Anolis sagrei: one gene and its partners. The protein of the gene in region 2 interacts with the protein of the main gene of each other region in a pairwise test. Links are inferred from orthologs where the notes say so. Each region holds a gene or a part of one and is shown on either strand. Other genes may lie near its edges. The genes, in order: AAMP, BHLHE40, AANAT and COX5B.

Region 1 (7,158 bases), on a different chromosome or scaffold from region 2:
AGTTCAGCAAACACAGATTTTATTTAAAGCCCAGATCACAAGATCCTATTTCTTCCCAGGGTCGTGTTATTTTCTTGGTTTTGAGCATAGCCCGTGTATGGAGAAGTTTCATGGCCCAATAACAGGAAATAATTTTAATATAACTATAATTTCCATTGGCTCTTGGTAGTGTGGCTAATGCTAGCAGATGGTAGGAGACACCGTCTAAAACTGGAGAGTCACACAGTTCCTACTCCCTTCCCGTCTTTCTCTCAGACAGGTTTTCCCAACATTCTATGCTACGAATAATTACAAGGCTAGGAACACTGAAGTGTTAATAAAGCAAACAGAAAATGCAATGCTCACCAAGCAATAGCAACTGGCTTCATAGGGTTCTTGGCTTTCTTTGGGGGAATATATTCCACATCTTCATAGACCTGTCTACCAGGCTGTGGCTTTGTCTGCACTTCTTTCCACACCCTGTGGCTTTTGTTGATGGATCTGGCTGGTGTTTTGAAAGGCAGAATAAAGCCTGCAGCTCGATTCACAGTGGCAGAAACAAGGCCTGCAAGGGGACAAGCTACTTGCATGAGATTGTACTTCTGCTAAAAGTTTCAACAAGATCCTCTATCAGTGCTGCCTCCAGACTCAACAGCGGATCTGAATTTGTGCATTGTGTCAGTAAGCGGAGGAACTAAAATTACAAACACCTAAAATGTGCTTGACAGGCTCATCTTATGTATGTTTACCTCACAAGGTTCTGTGAGACTTATTCCCAAGAAAGTATGCACAACAGTACAAAATTAGGCTGTCCTGAGAGCTAACTAATTTAACATTTTGCATCTGTACACATAATGCAAAATATCCTTCTAAGGTGCCTTATAATTTATTGTAAAATACCTGTGGCATTCTCAATCTTTGGAAGAAATTAAAATATATTTTAATGTAGTGGCCAATGGACATGATTGTTAAATGTTCTAAGAAATTTTATAGCAGAGATTTTTGATGGGCAAAATTCTCTTCAGGACAAACATATTGCAACATACCACACCCTGCTTTACATTTTGCTATTGGGGCTTGCGCTGTGCCATGTTTGACTGTCGGAGTATGACTTTGGGGACCAGGGTTTGAATCATTGCTTGGCCAAGGGTGATGTTGGGCAAGTCTCACTCTCTCAGCCTCTGAACAAACCTTGCCAAATGTTGGGATTTGGAGAGCTCTCTTGCAAAGATACCTCAATATTATATGAAAACAGAAATCCCAATTCAGGTGAGATCAAAGTACAGTGTCAATAAAGTCTCTTGACCATTTGCTTTGCTGTTAAATGGTAAATTGGCTTTATGGACACCCTGTACAATAATTGTGTACTAAGGGACCAAAGACAAGGAAACACTATCTTCCTCTGCTTCTGTTTATATCTTAGGAATGACCTCTCACAGTGCATCGAGTAATAATAATAATAATAATACTTTATTTATATTCCATCTTATCTCCCCTGGGGGACTTAGGGTGAATTCCAACAAACAAAAAGTCAAACGTTCAATGCCTCAATAACAGTAAATACAAATATAAAAACCCACGATAACCCCACATAAAGAGCAACTTAAGTATAACAACTATAGTTTAAATAAAATGTAATCAATTGAAAATTATAACTAACATAGAATTTAAACATAACACATCCAAATTAATATATCAGTACAACATGAAGGTTTACAAATGTGTGCATAGATTTTATGGCCAAAGTTGTTAAATGGGCTAATGTGATCTTACAAGGCCCGAGTGCATTTATACTATCTAATCAGCAGTCTCTTCATCTAATCTTCCTCCTCTCCATACGCTTGTGAGAAAGATAGGTTTTCAGCTGTTTTTTTTTTTTGATAGAGAGAAGGGAGGGATCCAGCTTTATTTCTTTAGGGACTTCCAGAGGAGGGGCGATCACGGAGAACACTCTCTCATTCCCACCAGCCATGTTTGAGATGGGGGTTGGGACCAAGAACAGAGCGTCCTCCGATGACTGCAGTGCCCGCGTTAGTTTGTAGGTGGAGATGCGATTAGTTAAATAGCTTGGACCCAAGTCATTAAAGGTAATAACTAGCACTTTTTATTTAGCCCGGAAGCAGACCAGCAGCCAGTGGAGCTGCCGTAGCATGGGAGTGGATCTTTCCCTGTACAGGCCTCCAGTTAGTAATCTGGCTGCAAACTTTGAACCAGTTGAAGCTTCCAAACTATCCTCAGAGGCCACCCCATGTAGAGTGTTGCAGTAGTCTACGCGGGATGTGACTAAGGCGTGGATTACCATGGCCAAGTCTGGTGTCTCTAGGTGCAGCTGGCACCAAGTTTTAAGTTGTGCAAAGGGGCTCCTAGCCACTGCCGACACCTGAGGTCACAGGAACAGCGATGAGTCCAAGATCAGCCCCAGACTGTGGACCTATGTCTTCAGGGGAGTGTGATCCCATCCAACACAGGCTGTTGGATGGGGTCAGCCATAAATATCATTGGATGACGGCTGCTGTCTCCGTATAACTAACCTCACAAAACTGCTATATAGTGAAAAGGAGGTTTCAAAAAACTATTCATGCACCATCATTCTCTCAACTTCGGGAAGTGATTGGTGGTAGAGAACCTTGGACTTCCAAATGTCTTTCAACCATCTTCAGCATGATGGGCACTAGAGTCCAAACACACTTCTACAAATCCTTTCCTCTAGTCGTGCTATTACTAAATAAATACTGCTGAAGGTAAAGCATCCCTTATCTGAAATGCTAGGGAACAGATTGTGCTGGATTTGAGACCCAAATCCAAACCTAAAATCAATTTGTTTCATTGACAACCAACCTGAAGGCAAATCTATGCACTATTTTTTTTAATGTTGTGCATGAAACGAAGTTTGCGCACATTGAGCGGCCCTAAAGGAAAGGTGTCACTTCCTCAACCACTTATGTGGACCATTTTGGATTATGGAGCATTTCGTAATTCTTGAGGAAGGATTCACAAACCACGGTGTCCATTTTCTCCCCTGAGAGCCTCCCTCCCATTCTCTTTCTCCTCCCTCCTCACACGCCAGCCCAAAATCCACTCCAGAAACAGCCTCAGACTCCCTCCCTACCCTGCACGCGAAGACAAACAGCCGCCATCTTGGGGGACGCTCTCTAGGCCCTTCCTGATGCATGCTGGGTAAGACCGAGAGCCATAGGCAGCAGCAGAGGAACTTGAGACTACAACTCCCTTGACGCCCTTCGGCCTCCCTGCACGGAATTGGAAAGTAGCCAATCAGAAGGGCCTATTGATTAATTGGTATTTCCCCTCCCCCCTTTTTAACCCTCTTCATTGATTGGTGTAGGGATGTTAGCTCCTCCCTCTACCTCAAGGTGAAGAGCAAAGCGCTTCGAGGAAATAAGGCCTGGCTCGGAATGTGAAAGTAGCCAATCAGGAGGATCGTACCAATGAGTTAGGGGATTGTCCCCATTTATTCCCTTCATTGATTGGTGGAAGGATTTTGGCTCCTCCTCCTCCTCCCTCATGGTGACAGGCAACGCAGAGAGCAAAGCGGCTCCTTGGAAATGGGGCCTGGTTTGGAATGTGAAAACAGCCAATCAGATGGACCGTAATGATTAGTTGGTATTCCCGCCTCCCTTTTACCCTCTTCGTTGATTGGTGGAGGGATGTTAGCTCCTCCCTCTACCTCACGGTAGAAAGCAACGCACTACGAGGAAACGGGGATTGGCTAGGAAGGTGAAAGTAGCCAATCAGGAGGATCGTACCAATGAGTTAGGGGTTTGTCCCCATTTTTTCCCTTCGTTGATTGGTGGAGAAATTTGGCTCCTTCCCCTCCCTCAAGATGACAGATAACGCAGAGAACAAATCGGCTCCTAAGAAATAGGGCCCGGTTTGGAATGTGAAGGCGACCAATCAGGAGGGCCGTACTAATGACTTAGGGGAAGGTCTCCCTTTTTTTATTCTCTTCATTGATTGGTGGAGATATTTTGGCTCCTCCCATTCCCATTCGTGACAGGCCACGCAGAGAGCAAAGCGGTGCCTAGGAAATGAGGCCTGGTTTGGAATGTGAAAGCAGCCAATCAGGACGGCCGTACTGATGAGTTAGGCGTTTGTTCCCATTTATTCCCTTCGTTGATTGGCGGAAGGGCTTTGGCTCCTCCTCCTCCTCATGCCTCTCGAGGGAGGGGCGGGCGGAAGAGGAGAGCGGCTGGCGAGATCAGGGCCAGGTGCCGCGTGTGGCGTGTTGTGGAGTCCAGCAGGCAGGCGGCATGGCGGACCCTGGCGGCGGGGAAGGGCCAGAGCCGGCCCCGGAGGGGTCAGGGGCCCTCCTGCTCGTGTCAGGCGGCGGCGCGGAAGAGATCGTGGAAGTGGTGGACCTGGAGCCGCCGGGGCCCGGTAAGAAGGGCCCAGAGCCTCTGAGGCTGAGAGAGTGTGGCTTGCTCCACGTCTGAGCAGGGATTCCACCCTTGGCCTCCTAGAGTCTGAGTACCCAGGCATGGGCAAACTTCGGCCCTCCAGGTGATTTGGACTTCAGCTCCCACAATTCCTAAGTTTGCCCATGCTTGGAGTAGGGAAACTTAATATTCTAAGGGGTTGTGGCATTAGGAAGGCTGAGAAACACGGATCTAGAGCTTCAGAGAGCTTCTGTTCAACCATTTCCAAGCTCCCTGCTAGAGCGGTGATGACATGATCGTCAGCATAGATGAAACTCTTTGGCACTTCTGGCAGTGGCTGATCATTTGCAGGGATCACCACAACATGAGGAGCTGTATGAAGGGGTCACGACATTAGGAAGGTTGAGAAACACAGACCTAGAGCTTTGGAGAGCTTCTGTTCAACCATTTCCAAGCTCCCTGCTAGAGCGGTGATGGCATGATCGTTAGCATAGGTGAAACTCTTTGGCACTTCTGGCAGTGGCTGATCATTTGCAGGGGTCACCACAACATGAAGAGCTGTATTAAGGGGTCACGACATTAGGAAGGTTGAGAAGCACTGGTCTAGATTCTCTTCTGACAAGCCCTGGAAGGGAGGACAAGGGGGTGATTTCTATTTTGCTCTCTTAGATGTGCTGCTTTCCAGGAAGCAAGGAATGGAAACATTTATCTGTCCATCTGTGATCCTTGTTCCTTTACAGATGGGAGGGGTCTCGATGTAGATTGATTGTCAGTATAAGCAAGACAGGAATCCTTGCTGTCATATCTAAAAGATAAGGGAGATTGAAAACAAGAAGGGGAGGCCCTGCTCTCGGTCTGCCTCCTTTTCAGGCATGACTGGTGGGAACGAGAGACAGGGCCTTCTCAGTGGCGGCTCCTCAACTATGGAACTCCCTCCCCAGTGAAATCAGATCAGCCCCTTCTCTCCTGACCTTCAGGAAAACAACTTAAAAGACATGGTGTTGGTACCAAGTTTTGACAAATAATTGGAGCAGTGCAATAAATGACTATGAAACAATGTGATTGACAAATGGAACGGCCCTGGATTATGCTTTGGTTGGCATGATTTTAATTGTTGTTTCAATAATCCCATGTTTTAATTATTTGGTTTTAATTGTAATTATTGATTTTATATTTGTGTGTACGGCATCAAATTGCTGCCTGTTGTTAGGCTGCCTTGAGTCCCCTTCTGGGGTGAGAAAGGCAGGATATAAATATAAATATGGTAAATACATTAAATAAATAAATTAAGAAGAAGAGCTAGGTGCTTGTTTTTGTTAGGGCCAAAACCTTTGGATCTCATGTCATTTGGGGCAGGGTGGGGGTGGGGGCACTGAATATTAGGAGTTCCTATATCTAAATCTTGTGTAGGATGATAATAATAGTAATAAGAATAATAAGAGATCAGCCCTCTCCCTCCTAGCCTTCAGAAGAAAAGTAAAAACTTGGCTGTGGGATCAGGCTTTTGGAGAATAGTGCTGTGCAATAACAGATTTGGAATATGTGCAGTGACCATGGAATGGCTTGGAATACGATTATGGATGTCATGATTTTAATATGGAATGTCATGTTTTAAAATATCTAATATGTATTAATAACTTATTTTTAATCCTTAATTTTAATTTTGGAATTGTATGTGTTTATGGCATTGAATAATTGCCTTGAGTTCCCTTCAGGGTAGAGAAAAGCCAGGTATAAATAGAGTAAATAAATAATACGTTTGCAGGTATGAATTCTTGACCCCTGGTTTCGGACTGATGTGGACTTTTGAGTGGTATCCTCCTCTTTCCTAAAACTTAGTGTATGCATGTTTGGGGTGGTGGGTGGGGTTTCTCACATTGCAGTGAGAAGAACTTGACACTGAGTTGTTTCAAAAATCTATGTCCCTCTTCTCTACTTTTTGGCAGATGATCTGGCTGATGAGATGGAAGATGTGGACCTCGACGAAGAGCAGGGCGCTTGGGTGACTGAGGAGGAAGATGAGGGAGTGGAGGAGGGCATGGAGGCCCAAGATGACAGTGAGGTCACCTTCTCAAAACATACTGGTGAGCTAGTAGGGGAGCCAGAGCAGATTTCCTACTTCATTAGCTGCTCTCTCTGGATCTTTCTTTTCCATCCTAAGTGAAAACTGCAGGTGACTCTATGTTGTGTTTAGTTGGAAGGCAGGAGTGCAGTTGGGGGTCAGAGCACCTCCTAAAGCACTGAAATAAGTTGTGTGACCTAGCTGCCGCTGTGGTTGATATTTGTTGCAGTTAGACACACTCTGCCATCCCCCCACATTTGGCTGATATGTAAGGGAGTTCCATGTATGTTCAAAAACTATATTTCCTTGATTCATGTGGGATCACTTGGGCAACTCCTTTAACATTGAAACTACAAGCAAGGACTGTGTCACCTGACAATATAGCTTACTCTCTCTTTTCTGCCTTCTTTTTGCTGCACCTCCCTGCCCTATGTTTACTGTATTGTGTTCCTGGATTGAAAGCTGCTGGGACCATTTTTGATTCTGGCTTTAAGTTCCCAAGGCGGTGTCTTGAGATAACAAGATATGGGGGTGATCCCAGGGTATTTCATTAGTTATTATGATCTCTTTGTTTTACTGTATGTTGGCAATGATTTTTTGCCAATAGTATGTTGTAAACCACCGTGAGTCTCCCCAGAGGTGAGAAAGGCTTTGCATTAATACAGTAAATAAATAAATATTTCAGGCCATTTTAGTTCCTCTTGTTTGGATGCTCCTCATACA
Region 2 (6,984 bases):
GCTTCAGCCCCCCCCCCCCCCAAATTCTCATGGTGGTTCGCGAAAAAGGCCTTACTGGTGCATTATTTAAACTGTTATTTATTCATATCATGATCTGATCACCATACTCAATATATACTCAATACAAGACAGAGGTACTCCTGGTCAGTCGCAGGGCCGAACAGGGTATAGGGCTACAGCCTGTGTTAGACGGGGTCGCACTCCCCCTGAAGACACAGGTTCGCAGTTTGGGTGTGATCCTGGATTCATCGCTGAGCCTGGATCCCCAGGTTTCGGCGGTGACCAGGGGAGCATTCGCACAGCTAAGACTCGTGCGCCAACTGCGACCGTACCTTGGGAAGTCTGACTTGGCCACGGTAGTCCACGCTCTGGTTACATCCCGCCTTGACTACTGCAACGCTCTCTACGTGGGGTTGCCTTTGAAGACGGCTCGGAAGCTCCAACTAGTCCAACGGGCGGCAGCCATGGTACTAACAGGAGCAGGGCGCAAGGAGCATACAACTCCTCTGCTGTACCAGCTCCACTGGCTGCCGATTAGCTACCGGGCCCAATTCAAAGTGCTGGCATTGGCCTTTAAAGCCCTAAACGGTTCTGGCCCAACATACCTATCCGAATGTATCTCGGCCTATCAGCCCACCAGGACCCTAAGATCTTCGGGAGAGGCCCTTCTCTCCATCCCGCCTGCTTCACAGGTGCGGCTGGCGGGTACGAGAGACAGGGCCTTTTCTGTGGTGGCCCCGCGGCTTTGGAATGCCCTCCCTATAGAGATAAAATCAGCCTCCTCGCTGATGGTATTTCGAAAAAAACTGAAAACATGGATGTTTGAGCAAGCATTTGGCTAATCCGATGCGATGAAGTTTTGACTAAGGACTGGCAATTACAGACAACGAATTTGGATTATGATTTTAATTTAAGAGATGCATTGGTCTGTATTGGTGGCCCAATACTGTGTATTGTATATATATGTGTTTTTATATTTTTTTATTCGGAATATTGTTTTATTGTTGTAAACCGCAATGAGTCGCCGTTCTAGGCTGAGATATTAGCGGTATACAAGTGTACTAAATAAATAAATAAAATAAATAAATATATCCCATATGCATGGGGGTATTGGGGTAATGATACAAAAGGTTTGCTAGGCTAGACCCTCTTTCACTCAGACTCAGCCCCCCCCCCCGAAACTCGCCCCCCCGAACCCCCCCCTGAAAAAATTTAGCCCCCTCCGAAATGAAATCCTGGCTACGGGCCTGTGGGGTTCAGAATGCTATTTGATTATCGGTGAACTATAAATCCCAGCAACTACAACTTCCAAATGACAAAATCATTTTTTTTAGTGAAGGACATACATTGAGTTATTAGGTGTCTTGTGTCCAATTTTGATGTCAATTCGTCCAGAAGTTTTTGAATTCTGTTAATCCCACAAACGAACATTCCATTTTTATTTATATAGAAAAGATAGAAGATATTACATGTAATATAAAAATATATAATTATATTATATATTTTATATTACATGTAATTATAATTATATTATATATTTATTAGTAGTAGTATTATATTGTATTACATTAGACACATCCATCGAGTCTTAGCATTGAGGGAAAACAAATGACTGCATGCCTGCTACTCTTTTTTGCAAGCAGGGCACAGCATAGCCTTGCGTACAAGTAAGAGAAGCAGCTGGGAGGCATTCTCCTGAAATCCCCTCTCCAGTGACAACGCCTGTGCGCATGCGTGGCTGCGTGATGGAGCGAGGGTGCCGCGGCTGCTTCTCCGGAACTCCAACGCGTTGGCTTTACTCCGAAGCCGCTCCTGGTCGGAAGTCCCCCTTTGGAGAGCTCCAGGCAGGGAAGGCAGGTTGAGCCTACTTTAAGTGCCACCGCTGTACCCTATGGAAGCCTGGGATCTGTCTTTGCCTGAAAGGGCTGGTGCCTCCTCCCCACACTAGAAACCCAAAAGCCAATGCCATTCTAGGCTGCCTCAAGAGGAGTCCAGTGTCAAGATCCAGGGAAGCCATAACCCCACCCTATTGGTCACAAAGCCCCCGGTGGCGCAGTGGGTTAAACCCTTGTGCCAGCAGGACTTAAGACCGACAGGTCGGGGGTTCGAATCTGGGGAGAGCCCGGATGAGCTCCCTCTGTCAGATCCAGCTCCCCATGTGGGGACATGAGAGAAGCCTTCCACAAGGATGGTAAAACATCAAAAACATCCGGGCGTTTCCTGGGCAACGTCCTTGAAGACGGCCAATACTCTCACACCAGAAGCGACTTGCAGTTTCCTGACACGAAAAAAACCTCACCTGGAATAAGACTGTGTCCATTTCTGGGCACTTCAGGATGTTGGCAGGGAAGGGTGACCACAATGAGCAAGGGTCCGAAAGCCAAGCCCAATGAGGAGTAGTTTAGGGAGCTGGGGGTGTGTAGCTTGCAGGAGAAAAGGCTGAGGGAAGGGGACATGACAGCCACCTTGGAATCAGTGAAAGGGTGCCACATTGGGGAGACTAGGACACCTTGGAGGAATGGATTCCAATGGCAGGAAAGGAGATTCCGTGTAAACGTTAGGACGAACTTTAGGAAGAACTACACTGCCTAGGAGTCGCCTTCTCTGGAGGTTTTCAAGCAAAGGCTGGATGGCCATCTGCAGGGAGTGCTTTGAATGCGATTTTCCTGTTTCTCGGTAGAGGTTTGGACCGGGTGGCCCATGAGGTCTCTTCCAACTCTATGATTCTATGATTCTGCTTTCCTTGCATGTCAAAGGCTTGGGCTGGATGTCCATCTGTCAGTGGTGCTTTCCCTGCGTGTCAGGGGGTTGAACGTTATGGCCATCCGCCGGGAGTACTTTGATTGTGCTTTCCCTGCGTGTCAGGATGTTAGACTAGATGTCCATCTTCAGGGAGTTCTTTGATTGTGGAAGAGACCTCATGGGCCATCCAGGCCAACCCCCTGCCAAGAAGCAGGAATATTGCATTCAAAGCACCCCTGACACATGGCCATCCAGCCTCTGTTTAAAACCTTCCAAAGAAGGAGCCTCCACCACACCACTCCGGGGCAGAGAGTTCCCTGCATGTCAGGGGGTTAGACCGGATGGCTATCTGCCGGGTGTGCTTTGATTGTGCCTTCCCCGCATGTCAGGAGGTTGAACTTAATGGCCATCCACCGGGAGTGTTTTTGTGCTTTCCCTGCACGTTGGGAGGTTAGACTGGATGTCCATCTGTAGAGAGTGCTTTGATTGTGCTTTCCTTGCATGTCAGGAGGTTAGACTGGATGGCTATCTGACGAGGGTGCTTCGATTGTGTCTTCCCTGCGTGTCAGGGGGTTGAACTTTATGGCCATCCACCGGGAGTGCTTTGATTGTGCTTTCCCTGCATGTTGGGAGGTTAGACTGGATGTCTATCTGCCGGGAGTACTTTGATTGTGCTTTCCCTGTCTGTTAGGGGGTTGAACTTTATGACCATCTGCCGGGAGTGCTTGGATTGTGCCTTTCCTGCATGTCAGAAGGTTGTAGTGGATGCCCATCTGTCGGGAGTGCTTAGACAGTCCCTTTCGCTGTGTGTCAGGAAGTTGGGCTGGGTGGTCCTTTGTGGGAGGCGCCTTGAATGTGCTTTCCTTGCATGCCAAGGGGTCAGACTGGATGGCCCTTGGGGGGGGGGGAGGATGTCTTCCAAGTCGAGGGTCCTCCCTGGAGTTTGGCCAGGGCTTTCTTCATGCGATGGGATAAGCGGAGCAGTTGCAGTGGGGCCAGGCCTTCCTCCTCCTCCTCCTCCTCCTCCTCCGGGGCCCTCCCAGGGCAGCCCTGGGTCACGTTTGCAGAGGCGGCGGCAGGGAAGCTCCTGGCCACAGCGGAGGGAGGGAGGGAGGCCGGAGCGTTGTCCGACACGTGAGGCTCATGTGATGAGGAGGGAGGCGAGGAGGGAGGCGGGGAGGGACGGGGGGGGGGCAGAGGAAGGGAGAAGAGGCAGGCCCGCTCCTCCTCCTCCTCTCCTCTCCTCTCCTCCCTCCCTCTCCGGCTTCAGAAGCAGCCGCGGCCAGACGTGCCTGAAGTCAGTCACAGGGCGGATCGGATCGCTCTGTCCTCCGTCCGCACCGAAGGAGGAGAAAGAGGCGCTGCAGAGACGCGCCGCAAAGGCTCTCCCACCTGAAGCACAGACAGAACTCGCCTCTCCTTTTGACCCAGAGAGAGAGAGAGAGAGGAGAACCACCAGAGGAGAAAGTCCTGTTAGGAAAAAAAGGAAAGCCGACTCAGAGAGAGAGAGACCCAAAGCGGGATCTTGGAGACTTCGGCTCCATCCTTAGAGGAAAACAGCTCACCGGAGGGAGAAGGATAGGAAGGAAGGAGAGGCAACCTTAAGAAGAGGAAGGAGAAGCCACCCAGTTGGCCATGGAAAGGATCCCCAGCGCCCAACCTCCTCCTCCTCCAGCACCGCCTTGCTTGGGCAAGCTGGCCACGTTGGAGGGCAACGAGATGCCAGGGTAAGCTCTCTATCTATCTATCTATCTATCTATCTATCTATCTATCTATCTATCTATCTGTGTGGGATTGAAATCGCTTTCCAACCAGGTTCCTCTTGGGTTGGGATGGTGCTTCCCTTGGCTACCTCTGCTCTCACTTTCTGCACCTGGGACAAGCAGTACACCTCTCAATTTCCTCTCCCTTGTTTTCCTTCTCTCCAAACTTTTCTATAGCTTAGCCCTCTTTCTTCTCACTCTACTGTGTCTACGCTTTAGAGTTAATGCAGTTTATCACCACTTTGACCTGCCCAGGTCTCAATGCTATGGAGGTGGCAGTACAACTCCAGCCCCCTTTATTCCCGAGCACTGAGCCAAGTGGCGTTGAACTGCATTCATTTGAACTGCATTCATTCCGCAGTGTAGATGCTACTTCTGTAGGTTTTGGAGAGGGATGGGGAGGATTGACTACCTTCCTGGATTATTCTTGCAAGTCATTTACATCTTTCTCCTTTTGGCTCATCAACAGGTTGGACTTTGCTCACATGTACCAAGTTTATAAACCCAGGAGAGGGTTAAAAAGAGGCGAAGACAGCAAGGTAAATACAGAACATTCGTAGCATTTTTCTTATTTATTTATTATTTACTGACTAGTATTTTCTTAGCGTCCTCAGTGAATAGTTTTCACCCAATGTGTTGTTGAAGGATTTCACAGCTGGAATCATTGAATTGTTGAGAGTTTTCCAGGCTATATGGCCATGTTCCAGAAGCATTCTCTCCCGACATTTCGCCTGCATCTATGGCAGTCATCCTCAGAGGTTGAGACCCCTCAACCTTTGAGGAAGGCTGCCATAGATGTGGGAAAAACATCAGGAGAGAATGATTCTGGAACACAGCCATGCAGCCCAGAAAACTCAACAGCAACTCAATTTTGACCCAGTTTCGTTCTGAGATTAAGTAATGGTCTTCCCAAACATATACAAAAGAGCATTCATTTTCAATGGCCCCTCAAAATTTGTTTTTGGAGACTCTATTTGTGGGGTGGAGGGTATTCATTTTTCCAAAAATGTTATTATGCTCATGGATTTGCCTTATCATGCAGCAAAACAATATCTTCATATGTTGTCGAAGGCTTTCATGGCCGGAATCACTGAGTTGCTGTAAGTTTTCCGGGCTGTATGGCTATTTTCCAGGAGCATTCTCTCCTGACATTTCACCCACATCTATGGCAGGCATCCTCAGATGTTGTGTGGTTTGTCAAAGACAAGGTAAGCAAGGTTTTTATATCTCTGGAATAGCATCCAGGGTAGGAGAAAGAACTCTTGTCTGTTTGAGGCAAGATGAGGCATGTTGCAATTGATCACCCTGATTAGCATTGAATAGCCTTGCAGCTTCAAAGCTTGGCTGCTTCCTACCTGGGGGAATCCTTTGTTGGGAGGTGATTAATTGCCCCTGATTGATTCTTGTCTGGAATTCCCCTGTTTTTGAGTGTTGATCCCCAGGCAGCAATCAGCCAGGCTTTGAAGCTACAAGGCTTTTCAGTGCTAATCAAGGTGGCCAATTGCAACATTCACACTTGCCTCAAACGACAAGAATTCTTTCTCCCACCCTGGACGTTATTCCACAGATATAAACCTGACTTTCTTAGTTTTCAATAGATTTCTCAACCTCTGAAAATTCCTGCCATAGATGTGGGCAAAATGTCAGGAGAGAATGCTTCTGGAACATGGCCATACAGCCCAGGAAACTCACTTCATAGTTGCATCAGATAATTTTCTGGAGATGATCAAAATACATCATCTGCAATAAACTTTGGGTTTGGTAATGCTGTTTTTTAAAAAACAAAAAAAAATGATCTAAGAAAATGTTTATAATTTTTTCCAATCTATTTGGACAGATAATACTATGCTCAGAAATCACTTTTCCTCTCAACTGATGAAATGGTTGTATAATTTTTTGGTACCTGTTGATTTTTAGGAGACCTACAAGTTACCCCACCGGCTGATTGAAAAGAAAAGACGAGATCGGATTAATGAATGCATTGCCCAGCTGAAAGATCTGTTACCAGAACATCTCAAACTTACAGTAAGTGAAAATCTGGCCACTGCCCAGAGACTTCTTCCTTCTGCGTTGGGCATTGGGTTGGCTTTGCAGGGCTTTTTGTGCAGGTAAAGTTGCCATCTAGAGGTTTCCTGAAGCAGTGCAGGTGTGAACGGGGAGAGAGAGTTGTCTTGTCTCGGGTTGGATTGCTTCCTTGAGCTTCCTGATAGGACTTGGTTTTGTTGCTAAGTTCATGAACCTCTGGATCGGATTGGATTTGAAGATGCAACAGGATAAGTCAAATGATTTGTTAGGGAGAGTGCATTTTGGTTTTTCTTCCCTGTTTTCCTGGTGGCAAACTTTTAAGTTAACAAAAGATTCATTTGCAGTGTAAAATTAATGCAATCTGGCTACCAACACTGCAAAACTCTAAAATCAGGACAGTAAATAAAGAATAACACTCAAAAACAGGGGAATTTCAGACAAGAAACAATCAGGG
Region 3 (7,923 bases), about 73 Mb from region 2:
TACTTTTATTTACTCCTGTCTAAAGAAAGTTAAGAGCTATCACACTGTAGTAATTTGAGTGTTGAACTAGGACTCTGCAGACCAAGGTTAAAATCTCCATTAGGACACAGAAATCTACTGAGTGACCTTGGGTAAGTCATAGCCTCTCAAATCAAATCAAATCATTTATTTCGGTCATTGACCAGCACAGGAAATAGTCACATTTTCATACAAACTTGGTATGTTTGGTACATTAAAAATATAAATATAACTACTGAAGCACAATATGGGTGAGGGAGCTGAAGGGAAGGGGAAACAGGGTAAAAAGATACAATGCCCAGACAGAGTACAAAATTTGCATACCCTCTCAACTTCAGAGGAAGACAAAGACAAATGTCAGGTGAACAAATCTTGACAAGAAAATGCAATGATATGGAAATCCTAAGGTGAGCCAAACTTGGAAATAGTTTGAAGGCACACAACAACCAAAAAGACTTGAAAGCACACTATAATTAGGTTTACTGTTTTCCCCAAGTGACATCTTACAATTTTAGCCTCACTATGAAACCAAAAAGCCTGAGTAAAAATAAGACCCTTGGGAATAATTTAGAATTTATACAGACCAAGCTTTGTCACAGAAAGCCTATATCCAAAATTTTAAATATTCTCAGAATCTATGTGAAAAATTATGAATATCTATCTTTTTAGGGGGTTCCAGGGCTTTTTTTAATATTGTCATTGCTGATTTCTTTGCTATGAACTTAATGGATTTAATCACAGCCAGAAAAGAAGTGTCTGGTCATAGTGAATGCATCGCATTATTCTCAAAGAAATACACATGATTTCAAGGCCAAGGACTGCTAATAAGAATATGAGTAGTACATACTTTCACTTATCACAGCATATCCATGCCACTCCTTCTCAAGATACACACAATGCATCGGTCCTCTCATATTACATCTGGGCCCACCCCTCACTCTCTTTTGTTCTACATATTTGGAGTAAGTCATTCTTCTCCATAACATTTGAAAACCTAACATAGAGTTCACAGAATATTAGTATCACTCTCAATATTTCAAATGAGATGCAAGTTAGCTATTTGACATGTACACTGTTATTTTTTAAGCAATTCATGTCAACTTGTGTCTCATGATATAAATACGCCCTTCAGTTTTTAATTATGCATAATTATATAACATCAATTATGCATACTGGAGCAAAGACAATGTTTTCCCTCCTACCCAAACAGTAACCTTTTTTTTTTTTTTGCTCCAACCAACAGTATTTAACCATTAATACCTTCATTTTAGAAGGCTTGCTACATTTGCTTCTCCTACACTACCAACCACTTACTACTATAGTGGCAACTAACAACAAACTCCCCCTATGCCATAATATAGTTCACTTCCAAGAATATTAATATTCTCAATTAATACATTGAGGCATCACAAGTATTTATAGTTATCCAAACATTTGCTAAAAATAATGGTCTCCAGTGATGTTTTTTCCCTCTTAAATAAGTTCCATCCCCATCCATATCTGAAACCATGCAGTAAAAAAATATGAACTTCTGCAGAACAGCAATACCAATCAGCAGATGTCACTGCAGAAGAGTCTGAGAGACCACGTCCAAACTCCTGACTACCTGAACAACCCGCAAAACACAGATTGCAGGGAAGGCCTGGAGCATTCAGGATGCTGAATAGAAGCATGTTGCCTAACAACATATTTTTTAAAATGGTGAAAGAAGTCTTCTAGAATATTATGGTGGGAGAAGGGGGAGCACAGAATGTAACCTATTTGGGGGACAGGGAGAGAGAGAGAGAGAGAAAAAAAATATGATTTTCTTTCCAAAATAGAAAACTGTACAACCTGTACAATGCAATGTGGACAATGTAAGGCAGCTTTTTCAGAGCACACTGGCCTGAGATAATACAGTATTTATAATATCAATCAATAGTAGCATTCTTGAAGGAATGTATGTATGCATATATGCATGTGTGAGCTATACACGTGAGTGTATATACAGTATATATATGTACACATGTGTGCTTATCTATGTATGCATACGTATGTTTGAGTGCATGTATGTAAATATATAAATGTGCATACAAAGAGTGGGCCAAAACTCACAAAGGCATCTAATGTTTCAATAATTCTTTGAAATTTTTGTTTGAAAAGATTTTATATATAATGTAATTCAATTTCATTTCCTATATATTCTATATATGCTTTTGTGAACATTGTAAATTAAAAACAAAGCACAAAGGAATTATTAAATATTGAAACCCCTTTGTGACTTTTGGCACACTCAGTATATGTGTGGGTGTGTATATATCTGTATGTAAGAGAGAAAGTATATATCTTTAGCAATATTTATTTGTGTGAGAGTATGTATATATATGTGTGTGGGTGTGTGTATAGGGTACGTATGAGGGGATGGATGTGTATCTATATATGTGCAAATGTATATATGTTTTTGTGTATATATGTGTATGTGTGTGAGAGAGAACCTATGTGTGTATATGTATATCTATATCAATGTGTGTGAGATTGTGTGCATAATAATAGTAATACATTTTATTCATTATCTGCCTTCCCTGATGGCTCAAGGAGGGGTACAACTAATTAAAAAACAAACAAACAAACATAAAAATACATGGCCTTGGACCATTATTTCTGGATTATGTGATTTTACCATTTATATTAATATGTTTTAATTCTATGTTTTAATGTTTAAATGTTGTTAGGTTTGTATGATCTAATTGATAGTTATATTATTCTCGCTTTATGTTAGGTTTCATATGTATGCGAGGCATTATGTTTTGTCAGAAATATGTTGGAAACCGGGTTGCTATAAGTTTTCCGGGCTGTATGGCCATGTTCCAGAAGCATTCTCTCCTGACATTTCACCCATATCTATGGCAGGCATCCTCAGAGGTTGAGAGGTCACAACCTCTGAGGATGCGTGCCATAGATGTGGGTGAAATGTCAGAAGAGAATGTTTCTGGAACATGGCCATATAGCCCGAAAAACTCACAGCAACCCAGTGATTCCGGCCACGCAAGCTTTCAACAACACATGTTGGAAACAGCTTTGAGCACACACACCCCCGAGTGAGAAAAGCGGAATACAAGTGAAGTAAATAAAAATACAATAAATTACTAAATTGCATTGCCAAGCACAGACATTTGAAAACTTATACCAAACACTGCTACAAAATTGACATATATTTATTTTGCATATTTGTATCCTGCCCTTCTCACCCCGGAGGGAGGCTCAGGGCGGCTTGACAACTTTTTTTTTTTTGCATTATTTCTATCCCGCTCATATCAGCCTGGAGGCGACTCAGAGCGGCGTACACAATCGGCACAATTCGATGCCATAAAAATACATACATTGATAAACAAAAGAACCATTATAGTGCAATTAGACATAAGCCAGTGCATAATAACAATATTAAAAGCTATAAACTATATCCTCTCATTCAAGTCCTTATCAGTTCCATCGTCTTGGGCCGTTCCAGAGTCATTTTCCAATTCAAGTTTGTCAACAGGTATTCATTCAATGCCAACAACAGTAATAAACAATAAAAGCAATTAGAACATAAAATTACTCAAACATTGTTTAAATCACACAGGTTTGAAATTGTAGTCCAGGTCAGTCCATTGTCATTCACATAAATTGTGTCTCATTCTCAATTGCTGCCTCTACTACTGTTCGAATGCTGGGTAGAGAGTTCCACAGGCGAGGGGCCACCACTGAGGAGACCCCATCGCTCACCCACCTCCGCCAGTCGTGGCAATAGAGTGCAAATCAAAACACATGATAGCAAGTTGACTGGGTAGGCCTGCCAGAAGGGATGGGTGTTGAGTTTGTTTAGCTGTTGGAGCTCTTCCGCAGGTCATTCCACAGTCGTAACTGTGTGTGTATATATCTGTATATATATATCTGTATGTGTGTGTGTGTGTGTGTGTATATATATATATATATATATATATATATATATATATCTGTATATATGTGTGAGGAATACACACACACAGAGGGAGAGCATGTCCCCGTCCTTTCTCCTCGCTCTCCCTCCTTGCCACCGCCCTCTTTCCTCGCCAACTTTCCTTTAAGACCCCCGACCCTCCCTCAGGTTCCTCAGGGCGGCCCTTCCTCTTCCTCCTCCCCTGCCGCAGCCCCCACCAGGCCCACGCCCACAGAGGGCCTGCTGCTGCTGCTGCTCCTGCCTCGGCATCTCCTTTCCCCCGCTCCTTGCCCACTCGGGAGGGGCCTACCTTGGTCTCCTTGACGTGCTGCTTGATGCCCTCGGGGTACCACTGGACGCGCACGTAGCCGCGGCGGAGGGGGCTCCCGCGGCCTTCTTCCCCTCCTCCTCCTCCTCCGGGGCCCCCGGACTCCGAGCCCGCCGAGCTGCCCCCTCCTCCTCCTCCTCCTGCTGTTGCTGGGCCTCGTCCTCCTCCCCCTCCGCCCCCTCCTCCTCCTCCTCCCCCGCCGTCGTCTTCCTCAGAGTCGGAGTCCTCGCCGTGCATGACGCGGACCAGGCCGAAGCGCACCGAGCCCCTGTACTTGCCGGAGACCAAGTCATGGGTGAAGAGGAGGCGCTGCGAGCCGCCGCCGGGTGCTGCTGTTGCTATTGATGGCGGCGTTGGAGATGGCGGCGTCCCGGTGGTCGGTGGCGGCTCCGCCATGGCTGAGGGGGGAGGAAGGAAGGAAGGAGGCGGGCGGAGGGAGGGAGGGAGAGAAGCAGCAGCAGCGACGGCGGCCGCCTGGCTCACTCTCGCTCACTCGCTTGCTCGCTTTCCCGGCGCGCGCAGGCGCAGTCCGCGTTCGGTAGGGGGCGGGGCTCCAAGATGGCGACGCCTCGCGTCAAATAGCAAAGCGAGGAGGGGGCGGGGCCAAGAGCAGCCTGAGGAGGGAGGGAGGGAGAAGGGGAGAGGGACGGGCCTACATCTTCCTCTCTGAAGGGGATGGAGGTGGATGGAGGGAAGGCCTCGGCGCCTGAGAAGAGAGGGAAGGCAGCTTTCACAACCGAAGAGGGCTGTGGCACACAGCACAGAAAACAGGGAGAATCGCGAGCGTGTCTCTGTGAGGAGGAGGAGGGCTCCAGAAGGTGCTCACAGGCCTTTGATGCCTCAAGTAGAGCATCATAAGATGGCGCCCCTTCCCACCCTACGAGGCAAAGCAGAGGCGGAGCTGACAGGTGCTCCCCTTCCCTAGTCTTGGCGCATCCACAAGACAGAATCCATGCAGTTTGTCTGTAACTGCCATGGCAGAATGCTCTGGGATCCTGGGAGCTGGAGTTTTACAAGGCCTTTGGCGTTCTTTTAAAGCAGTGGGTCCCAACCTGTGGGTCCCCAAGTGTTTTGCTCCACAACTCCCAGAAATCCCAGCCAGTTTACCAACTGATAGGATTTCTGGGGGTTGAAGACCAAAACATCTGGAGACCCACAGGTTGAGAACCACTGCTCTAAAGAGTGGTGGTGCCTCGGCAAGCTCCAAATTCTAGGATTTCATGGCATTGAGCCGTGATGGTTCAAATGGTGGGGAACTGCCTTCATCTCCAGCAGGCATGGGCAAACTCCCCCTCCCCCCCCCCCCCTCAGGTGTTTTGGGACTTCAACTTCCACAATTCCTAACAGTCTCAGCCCCCCTTCCTTTTCCCTTTATTTTATTTATTTACGACATAAATAAAATATCTCTGAGTCTCCTCCTCACCCCGAAGGGGACTTAGAGCGGCTTACAAGATATGCATACAATATATTATATTATTAGCATAGTACAATATCAGTATTAAATATTACTATATTATACATGTAATATTAGTAATATTACATGTAATAGAAATATATAATTATATTATTATATTGCATTACATTATTATAAATATTATATGTATATACACAATATATTATATTATATGATTAGAATAGCACAGGAGAAAAGGTGGAACTGTGTTCTGCCCCCCTCCCCTTCACTGTAGCCCAGAGCGGCAGTTGGTGCTGTGGGGAGGGGTCCCCAGCTGATGACATATGCAGGAGACAAGATGGAACTGTCCCCCTCTCTCTTTACTCTGGCCCAGAGCAGCAGTTGGTGCTGGGGGAAGGGGTCCCCAATTGATGGCATTAAGCTTTTCTGCTTAAGCGGCTGAGAGAGAAAAGGAAAAGGCCTGAGGCTCTTAGGAATTGTAAGAGTTGAGGTCCAAAACACCTGGAGGGCCAAAGTTTGCCCATGCCTGCTACAGATGAAGGCAGTTCCAAACCACTGGAACCATCACTGCTCAATGCCATGAAATCCCAGGATTTGGAGCTTGCCGAGGCACCACCACTCTTTAGCAGAGAACGCCAAAGGCCTTCTACAGTGTAGTAGAGGGACCTTTGGGGGTGGGTCTCTACCTCCTTCCCTTTTTGTCCTCCTTTCCCCAGTGTCTGCCCCCAAAGGCCCCTACCTGGCTTTGTTCCCTGTTAGGGGCAGGAAGTAATTTGAAGTTGGCTGTCCATGAGTGTCTTGCTGAAGATGGAGGGAGTGGCTCTCAAAATGGGAAGGCGGACAAGGAGTGAAATGGAAAGCAAACGAACAAAGATAAAATGGGAAAAAGAGGATTTCAAATTAAGCCATCTGTTGTGCATTTGCCCCCTTTGTCTCATTCTGGGTCTGTATTGTAGCTTAGGCCCAGAGAAAGAATCATGGGGAAAGAGAGCCAGTGTGGGGCAGCGATTTGAGCATAGAGTGAAGACCGGGAGACCAGGGTTCAAATACCCACTTGGCTGTGGAAACCCACTGAGTGACCTGGGGTAAGTCACACTCTCTCAGAGGAAGACAAAGGTGCCCCCTCCTCCGAACAAGTCATGCCCCAAAAGTTTGTGATAGGTTCACTTTAGAGTTGGTATACTTCAGAAATGACTGAAGACACACAACAGCAAAGATGCAGGAGGAGAAGGAGGGAAAGTCTTGGTGGGGGGAGTAGAAAATTTGAGCCAAAGCATAAACACAATGATTAAATTGATGGCTGCAAGAGTGTGGATATGAGGAATTGAAGGCATGGGAGAGAAACATTGTCTGAAGAGCAAAATCGAATACACTCAATTTCAAAGGTTGCTTTGAAATTTGAAAGTAAGGAGGAGAGAGGTGTTTTCTTTACCTAATAAAAATAATCAGGGTATAATTTTGGTACTATTATTGTGATGTTGAAAACCCTTAAAGTCTGGTATGGGAATAATTTGAGTGCACTACTCTCAATTAACTCCTTTGGACATCCATCACTGCTAGCTTAGATGTAAAGCAAATTGAGGGAGTCTAATTGTGACATGGAAATTCAGAAGCTGGGAAGGCAATGGGAGTTTCTGGAGCTAATGTCTCATGCTCACAAGAGTCTAATGGTCATCCTAGTGCAAGAGGTCCTGATATAAAAGCCCAATTAAGTAGAAGCTGTGGGGAGTGAAGCTTTGTTTCTGTATAGAGAAAAAAATGAGATAGTATTAATGTTATAAATGTAGAGGCAGTATAGTGATTTTATTGAGAGTTTAGCATTAATTTCTTAATTGTACAAAAAATCTCGCCCCAGGTCTTATTCATTATCTTCAATGTGTTTAGCAATCAAGGCTGGCAGTGTAATTTTGTACAATATATTGTGCAAGTATTTTAACAGAATAATTTAAATATGAGGCTTTAACAGCCATTCTTAAGATTTATTCCCAGTGCAATTGTTGCATCCTTCCATGGACATGAATATAGTATAAATGGATAGCTGCAACTAAGGGAAACATAAAAATAATTTCTTAAGATCTGATTAATCTTACAGTTATAAAAGATAACCCACATACCCAAGTTATAGAAGGGTATCCACGTGCTCTACATTGAAATCTCTATGTTGTTCCTAGGAACAAGTGTGGAGATTCATATTACTAAGGTGCACAAAGCTCAAGAAGTTGCTAC
Region 4 (7,256 bases), on a different chromosome or scaffold from region 2:
TTTCTCCCTCTATTTGCCAGTTATCAATGGTTGCCATCATCTTGGTTTTCTTGATATTTAACCGAAACCGAACTTTTGCAGTTTCTTCTTTCACTTTGGTTAGAAGGCTCTTTGGCTCCTTTTTGCTTTCGGCCATCAAAGTGGTGTCATCTGCATATCTAAGATTGTTAATGTTTCTTCCAGCAATTTTCACCCCAGCCTTGCATTTGTCAAGCCCGCATATCGCATGATGTGTTCTGCATACAAGTTGAATAGGTTGGGTGAGAGTATACAACCCTGCTGTATGCCTTCCCCAATCTTGAACCAGTCTGGTGTTCCATGGTCAGTTCTTACTGTTGCTACTTGGTCCTCATACAGATTCCTCAGGAGATGTGATTTGGTATGCCCAGACCACCAAGAGGGAAATACATTCAGACAAATAAGCTGGGCACCACCACCAGGAGTGATATTTGGCCATTGCTCTTCTCCCAAGAAGGAAGCGTCTCCTGATTTCCTGGCTGCAGACGGCACTTGCAGTTATCTTCGTGCCTAGAAATACAGTCTGTCACTGACTCCACATTTTCTCCCTCTATATGCCAGTTATCAATCACTCTGGTTGCCATTATATTGGTTTTCTTGATATTTAACTGAAACCAAGCTTTTGCAGTTTCTTCTTTTACTTTGGTTAGAAGGCTCCTTGGCTCCTTCTCGCGTTCAGCCATCAAAGTACTATCATCTGCATATCTAAAGTTGTTAATATTTCATCCAGCAAATTTTAACTCCAGCCTTGGATTCGTCAAGCCCTGCACGTCGCATGATGTGTTCTGCATACAGGTTGAATAGGTCGGGTGAGAGTATACAGCCCTGCCGTACTGCTTTCCCAATTGTGAACCAGGAGATATTTCACTCCCATTCATTAAACAAGAGGAGCCATTTCCGGGGCTTCTTCTCTTTCTGTTTCTGCCCCCTTCAAAGCAGAACTTCTTAATGAAAAGTTTGTGCCTGGTGACCATATCTATTGAAAAATGTAAATCAGTGGTTCCCAAACTTATTTGGCCTACCCCTCTGGAAATCAATTTTTTGAAATATTTTCTTCTTTCTTTTATGCTTTCACCGCCCCCTTACAATTATTCATCGCCCCCAAATGCACCTGTGGCCATTACCGCCCCCCTGGGTCACTGCAGCACCCACCAGGTGAAAAATGACAGGAACTTGAGGGGGGTTTGGGAGGAGGGGCTTTGTTGCATTTGCAGACAGAGGCCATCTTAACATTTGGCTCATTCGTTGAGAGAGCTATGAAGGCCTTGGGGATGAAAATTCAGGATAAATTGCAGGATTCCCTTGTAGGAATGAATTTGGGTGGGAGTTAGGCCTGATGAAGCCCACTTTTGAGGGAAATCTGGTTGACTGAAGCATACTGACACCAATAAGATAGAAAGGAGGAGTCAGAAACTCATCAGCTGCTCATCCAGACAAAAAGGAAAGCAGTCTCCCTTCTTCAACTTGGAGGAAGTCCTTACCTGGCTGCTCCAACGGCTCTCTAACTCCCACCTGTTTTGAAAATCAACAAAAAGAATGCATTCCTAAAGCAGCCAATCAGAAGCAGGGCACTAAAGCTGGCGACAGGGTGAGCCAATCAGTAACAAGATTCCCCCCTTATGCAAATACAATACATTTCCAGTTTTGAATATTGATGGACTGGATTTTCAAAATGTTCTCTCGATCCTCCAGTTCAGATCTATGGTTGGCTTCCAGCAAAAGTTGACAGTAAGGTCATGCTGGATGAATCGGAAAAGCCCCATCTACACTGCCCTATAATCCAGTTTATGAATCCAGGTTATCTGCTTTGAACTGGACGATACGGAAGTGTAGATCAAGGCTAAGTCTTCCAGTGCAATTCTATGGCCAGCTCCCAGAAGACATCCACTATAAACAATATACAGTATATTTAAAATGCTTTACTTTCATTGCAAGTTTCCTCAGCTCTATAATGAACTAAAGAGGACTTTTCTCCCGAAAAACACTATAGATTTATATTATCTATGCTACACCACTCTCTCTCTCTCTTTATATATATATATATATGTGTGTGTGTGTGTGTGTGTGTATTGTATATACTTAAGTATAAGCCTAGTTTTTCAGCCCTCTTTTTAGGCTGAAAAAGCTCCCCATGGCTTATACTCGAGTCAAGGTTATTTATTCTTTTACTCTTTTATTAGTATTATTTTTAAAACCCTATACCAGATATATCCTACCTTGTTCATGCCCAGCGTTTATTTTTTTAATTTTTAAACTATTACATTTTAAACTATTACATTCCTTTTTGTCCGGATCAGCAGCTGGTTTTTAAATCCTTGTGTGTTACTGTGTATTGGTTATTGTTTATATGTGATTAATATTAATTGTATTGTATTTATTGTTTTTGTTTATTGCATTTTGTTTTTATTGATGTGTTGTTGAGCTTGGCCTCATGTAAGCCGCTCTGAGTCCCTTGGGGAGATGGTGGCGGGGTATAAAGTTTTTATAATAATAATAATAATAATAATAATAATGGCAGTGACATCTCCAGCCCATCCCCTGTTTGGGTATCAGCCAGCATGTCAACAACAGAAACAGAAGAACGGCCTGCCTCAGGGGAGCGTGCTTGCTCCATCCATGTTCAACATCTACACAAATGACCAGCCACTGCCAGATGGGACACAGAGTTTCATCTATGCTGATGATCGTGCCATTACCACTCAAGCAGGGTGCTTTGAGATGGTTGAAAAGAAGCTCTCCAAAGCTCTAGGTGCTCTTACTGCCTATTACAGGGAAAACCAACTGATCCCTAATCCATCTAAAACACAGACATGCCCCTTTCACCTTAAGAACAGACAAGCATCCCGAGCTCTGAAGATCACCTGGGAAGGAATCCCACTGGAGCATTACAACACACCCAAATATCTGGGAGTCACTTTGGACCGTGCTCTGACCTACAAGAAGCACTGCCTGAACATCAAGCAAAAAGTGGGCGCTAGAAACATCATATGAAAGCTGACTGGCACAACCTGGGGATCACAACCAGACACAGTGAAGACATCTGCCCTTGCGCTATGCTACTCTGCTGCTGAGTATGCATGCCCAATGTGGAACACATCTCACCACGCTAAAACAGTGGATGTGGCTCTTAATGAGACATGCCACATTATCACAGGGTGTCTGCGCCCTACACCTCTGGAGAAATTACATTGCTTAGCCGGTATTGCACCACCTGACATCCGCCGGGAAGTAGCAGCCAATAGTGAAAGGACCAAGGTAGTGACATCTCCAGCTCATCCCCTGTTTGGGTATCAGCCAGCACGTCAACGACTTAAATCAAGAAATAGTTTTCTTAGATCTACAGAGACACTCGCTGGAACACCTCAGCAAGCGAGAGTCCAAAATGGGCAGGCTCCAACCCATCACTTCAATCCGTGGTTGATACCAGATGAGAGACTCCCTCCTGAGCACACAGAAGACTGGGCAACTTGGAAGGCGCTGAACAGACTGCGCTCTGGCACCACGAGATGCAGAGCCAACCTTAAGAAATGGGGCTACAAAGTGGAATCCACGACATGCGAGTGTGGAGAAGAGCAAACTACAGACCACCTGCTGCAATGCAACCTGAGCCCTGCCACATGCACAATGGAGGACCTTCTTGCGGCAACACCAGAGGCACTCCAAGTGGCCAGATACTGGTCAAAGGACATTTAATCAACTACCAAGCTTGCAAAATCTGTGGTTTTTGTTTTGTGTTTGTTTTGTTCTGTTAGGAATGTAATCCAATGGTCTAGTTGCTGATAAATAAATTATTATTATTATCATGATTATTATTATTATGATATTCTAGGAGCTCTAAAAGGGCCAGAGTTGCCTGAAGTTTATATTCTCATTCCAGGGAAGCCATACATGAAGTTCCTTTTCCCCTCAGCCTATAAGAATCCTATAAGAAGAGTGACAAAACATAGCCCAGGCCTAGCTTGTTCTCCAGACCCTTGATCATTTTAGTTGCCCTCTTCTGGACACATTCCAGCTTGTCAATATCTCTCTCCTTCCAACCAGGTAAATTCCTTCCCTTCCTCTCCACTCCACTCCAAAATGGCGCCTCCCTACTGACTGGAAAGAAAGGAAACTTCACTCCCAGGCCACGCCCACGAGGCAACGTGTCCAATGGGTGTGCAGCTTCGGCGGTTACGGCCACGCCCATTGAGCGGCGCGTCGGAGGGGTTGCTGTTGGACAACGGTTGGTTAAAACGGCGCCTGCGTGGGAGGAAGTCCCTCCCCCGGAAAGCGGAAACAGGCCTGTGGACAAGGCCTATTATAGCTCCTCGCGTTCCCCATGGCGTCAAGGTTACTCAGGGTCTGCGGCCTTTTCCAAGGGCTCGCCGCGGGCCGGAATGCCCTCCCTCTAGGGCCGCTGCGCCTGGCCGGAGCCTCTCGCTGCATGGGAGCCGGAGGTGAGGCTGGGTTAGGGCATTTTCACACAGACTTTGGCCAACTTGGGCCTTCCCTCCAGGTATTTTGAGCTTCAACCCCCGCAATCCCTAACAGCTCAGGCCCCTTCCTTTTCCCTCCTTTGCACTATTTGAAGCTTCTGAACCGTCTTAGAATCAAAGAGTTGGAAGAAACCTCATGGGCCATCCAGTCCAATCTCATTCTGCCAAGAAGCAGAAATATTGCATTCAAATCACCCCTGACAGATGGCCATCCAGCCTCTGTTTAGAAGCTTCCAAAGAAGGAGCCTCCACCACACTCCGGGGCAGAGAGTTCCACTGCTGAACGGCTCTCACAGTCAGGAAGTTCTTCCTCATGTTCAGATGGAATCTCCATTCTTGTAGTTTGAAGCCATTGTTTTGCGTCCTAGTCTCTAAGGAAGCAGAAAACAAGCTTGCTCCCTCCTCCCTGTGGCTTCCTCTCACATATTTATACATGGCTATCATGTCTCCTCTCAGCCTTCTCTTCTTCAGGCTACACATGCCCAGCTCCTTAAGCCGCTCCTCATAGGGCTTGTTCTCCAGACCCTTGATCATTTTAGTCGCCCTCCTCTGGACACATTCCAGCTTGTCAATATCTCTCTTCAATTGTGGTGCCCAGAATTGGACACAATATTCCAGGTGTGGTCTAACCAAGGCGGAATAGAGGGGGAGCATTACTTCCCTAGATCTAGATACTATGCTCCTATTGATGCAGGCCAAAATCCCATTGGCTTTTTTTGCCGCCACATCACATTGTTGGCTCATGTTTAACTTGTTGTCCAATATAAACGGAGCCCCCAGTGGTCTTTTTCACACGTACTGCTCTTAGGCAGCCCCACATAGAGTGCATTGCAGTAATCAATTCGAGATGTAACTAAGGCCTGGACCACCGTGGCCAAGTATGGCTTCACGAGGGTTTTTTTTGTTTGTTTGTTTTGTTGTGTCAGGAGTGACTTGAGAAACTGCAAGTCGCTTCTGGTGTGAGAGAATTGGCCGTCTGCAAGGACGTTGCCCAGGGGACGCCCGGATGATTTGATGTTTTTATCATCCTTGTGGGAGGCTTCTCTCATGTCCCTACATGAGGAGCTGGAGCTGATAGAGGGAGCTCATCCGCCTCTCCCCGGATTTGAACCTGCGACCTGTCGGTCTTCAATCCTGCCAGCACAGGTGTTTAACCCATTTCACCACCAGGGGCTCCATGGCTTCCCGAGGTACAGTTGATATACAAGCTTTTATTGTACACTGAGGTTTTTTTCAGTGATTTTACAAGTGATGGTCACTTGTTAGCCTGATACGTGTACTGTGCCCAAATTTGGTGTCAGTTGGTCCAGTGATTTTTGAGTTATGTTAATCCCACAAATGAACATTACATTTTTAATTATATAGATACTAGCTGTCCCCTGCCACGCGTTGCTGTGGCCCAGGCTGTTGATCTGGAAAATAAAGTAATTAGAAAGTGTTGGTTTCTAATATATGTAATTTCTTTATGCTTGTGGGTAAACAGTATTTCTTGCTGTTTCTTTGTCAGTGTTGATTTGGAGATTGTCTGGTTTGCCTGCTCTGGAACATGCAACATATCATTGTCCTTTTTAGGGGTCCTTTTCAAATCTATGGTACTATATCTCTCTCTATGTGAATCATATATATCTATCTATACCTATGGCTGGATGCCTCTTTGTCAGAAGGGCTTTGATTATGTTTTCTTGTCCTGATGAAGGGAGTTGGACTGGATGGCCTTAAGTATGAGGGTTCTGTGTGGGAAGTTTGCCCCAATTCTGTCGTTGGTAGGGTTCAGCGTGCGCTTTGATTGTACGTGAACTATAAATCCCAGTAACTACAACTCCCAAATGTCAAGGTCTATTTTCCTCAAACTCCATCTGTGTTCATATTTGGGCATATGGAATATTTGCGCCAAGTTTGGTCCATATCCATCATTGTATGAGTCCACAGTGCTCTCTGGATGTAGGTGAACTACAACTCCCAAACTCAAGGTCAATGCCCACCAAACCCTTCTAGTGTTTTCTGTTGGTCATGGGAGTTCTGTGTGCCACATTTGGTTCAATTCCATCATTGGTGGAGTTCAGAATGCTCTTTGATTGTAAATAAAGTACGTATAACACCCAGCGACTACAACTCCCAAATGACAAGATCAATTTTTGAGTTATGTTAATCCCACAAACGAACATTACATTTTTATTTATATAGATAGGCCCTCCTTGCATTCCAAAAAAAATTCTTAAGCCTTTGAGCAATACATATAGTGATTCGAATGTGACTGATGAGACTGGTAATGGACTGATCTTGGATCACGATTTTAAACTCAAGATATTTTAGAATTTTAAATCTTGGATGTTTATAATTGTTTTAATTGTTTTTTAATTAATTTCTTAATTTAATGTCCGGCATCTAGTGGTGGCCTATTGTAAACCACCCTGAGTCCACCCCTCGGGGGTGAAAAGGACGGAGTATAAATACATGAAATAAATACATGTGGGCTAGCCAAAACTATGGCTAGGTGGATCTGTAATTGGTTAAGTGAATGAACCCAGTGGGTGATTCTTCCCAGCGCTTCTTCTTCATTCTGGAAAGAAATGACGAGTGGCGTATCGCAGGTTTCCATCATGGACCTGGTTTTGTTCAACATCTTTATTAATGGCTTAGATCAGTGGTTCTCAATCTGTGGGTCCCCAAGTGTTTTGGCCTACAACTCCCAGAAATCCCAGCCAGTTTACCACCTGGGGATCCACAGGTTGAGAACCACTGACTTAGATTAGGGGTTAGAAA

What was found.
Region 1: the proteins of BHLHE40 (region 2) and AAMP interact in a two-hybrid assay, tested with the Homo sapiens proteins (2 studies listed by BioGRID and IntAct). The link is inferred for Anolis sagrei from reciprocal best matches to the Homo sapiens genes BHLHE40 and AAMP.
Region 3: the proteins of BHLHE40 (region 2) and AANAT interact in binary tests that used the Homo sapiens proteins (3 or more experiments, as listed by UniProt). The two-hybrid records come from large-scale screens. The link is inferred for Anolis sagrei from reciprocal best matches to the Homo sapiens genes BHLHE40 and AANAT.
Region 4: the proteins of BHLHE40 (region 2) and COX5B interact in binary tests that used the Homo sapiens proteins (3 or more experiments, as listed by UniProt). The two-hybrid records come from large-scale screens. The link is inferred for Anolis sagrei from reciprocal best matches to the Homo sapiens genes BHLHE40 and COX5B.

What each region holds. Positions count from the first base shown.
Region 1 is NC_090021.1:228,680,107-228,687,264, reverse strand, and holds the start of AAMP (angio-associated migratory cell protein), read left to right. Parts: upstream 1-4,146; 5' UTR 4,147-4,247; coding exon 4,248-4,374; intron 4,375-6,319; coding exon 6,320-6,457; intron 6,458-7,158. UniProt on the Homo sapiens protein: Plays a role in angiogenesis and cell migration. In smooth muscle cell migration, may act through the RhoA pathway.
Region 2 is NC_090022.1:46,308,550-46,315,533, forward strand, and holds the start of BHLHE40 (class E basic helix-loop-helix protein 40), read left to right. Parts: upstream 1-3,963; 5' UTR 3,964-4,377; coding exon 4,378-4,469; intron 4,470-4,974; coding exon 4,975-5,044; intron 5,045-6,422; coding exon 6,423-6,530; intron 6,531-6,984. UniProt on the Homo sapiens protein: Transcriptional repressor involved in the regulation of the circadian rhythm by negatively regulating the activity of the clock genes and clock-controlled genes.
Region 3 is NC_090022.1:119,356,836-119,364,758, forward strand, and holds the start of AANAT (serotonin N-acetyltransferase), read left to right. Parts: upstream 1-4,901; 5' UTR 4,902-5,191; intron 5,192-5,835; exon of another isoform or gene 5,836-6,782; intron 6,783-7,923. Other genes in the region: UBE2O ((E3-independent) E2 ubiquitin-conjugating enzyme), read right to left, coding at 4,266-4,679. UniProt on the Homo sapiens protein: Controls the night/day rhythm of melatonin production in the pineal gland. Catalyzes the N-acetylation of serotonin into N-acetylserotonin, the penultimate step in the synthesis of melatonin.
Region 4 is NC_090027.1:24,180,257-24,187,512, forward strand, and holds the start of COX5B (cytochrome c oxidase subunit 5B, mitochondrial), read left to right. Parts: upstream 1-4,256; 5' UTR 4,257-4,336; coding exon 4,337-4,454; intron 4,455-7,256. UniProt on the Homo sapiens protein: Component of the cytochrome c oxidase, the last enzyme in the mitochondrial electron transport chain which drives oxidative phosphorylation.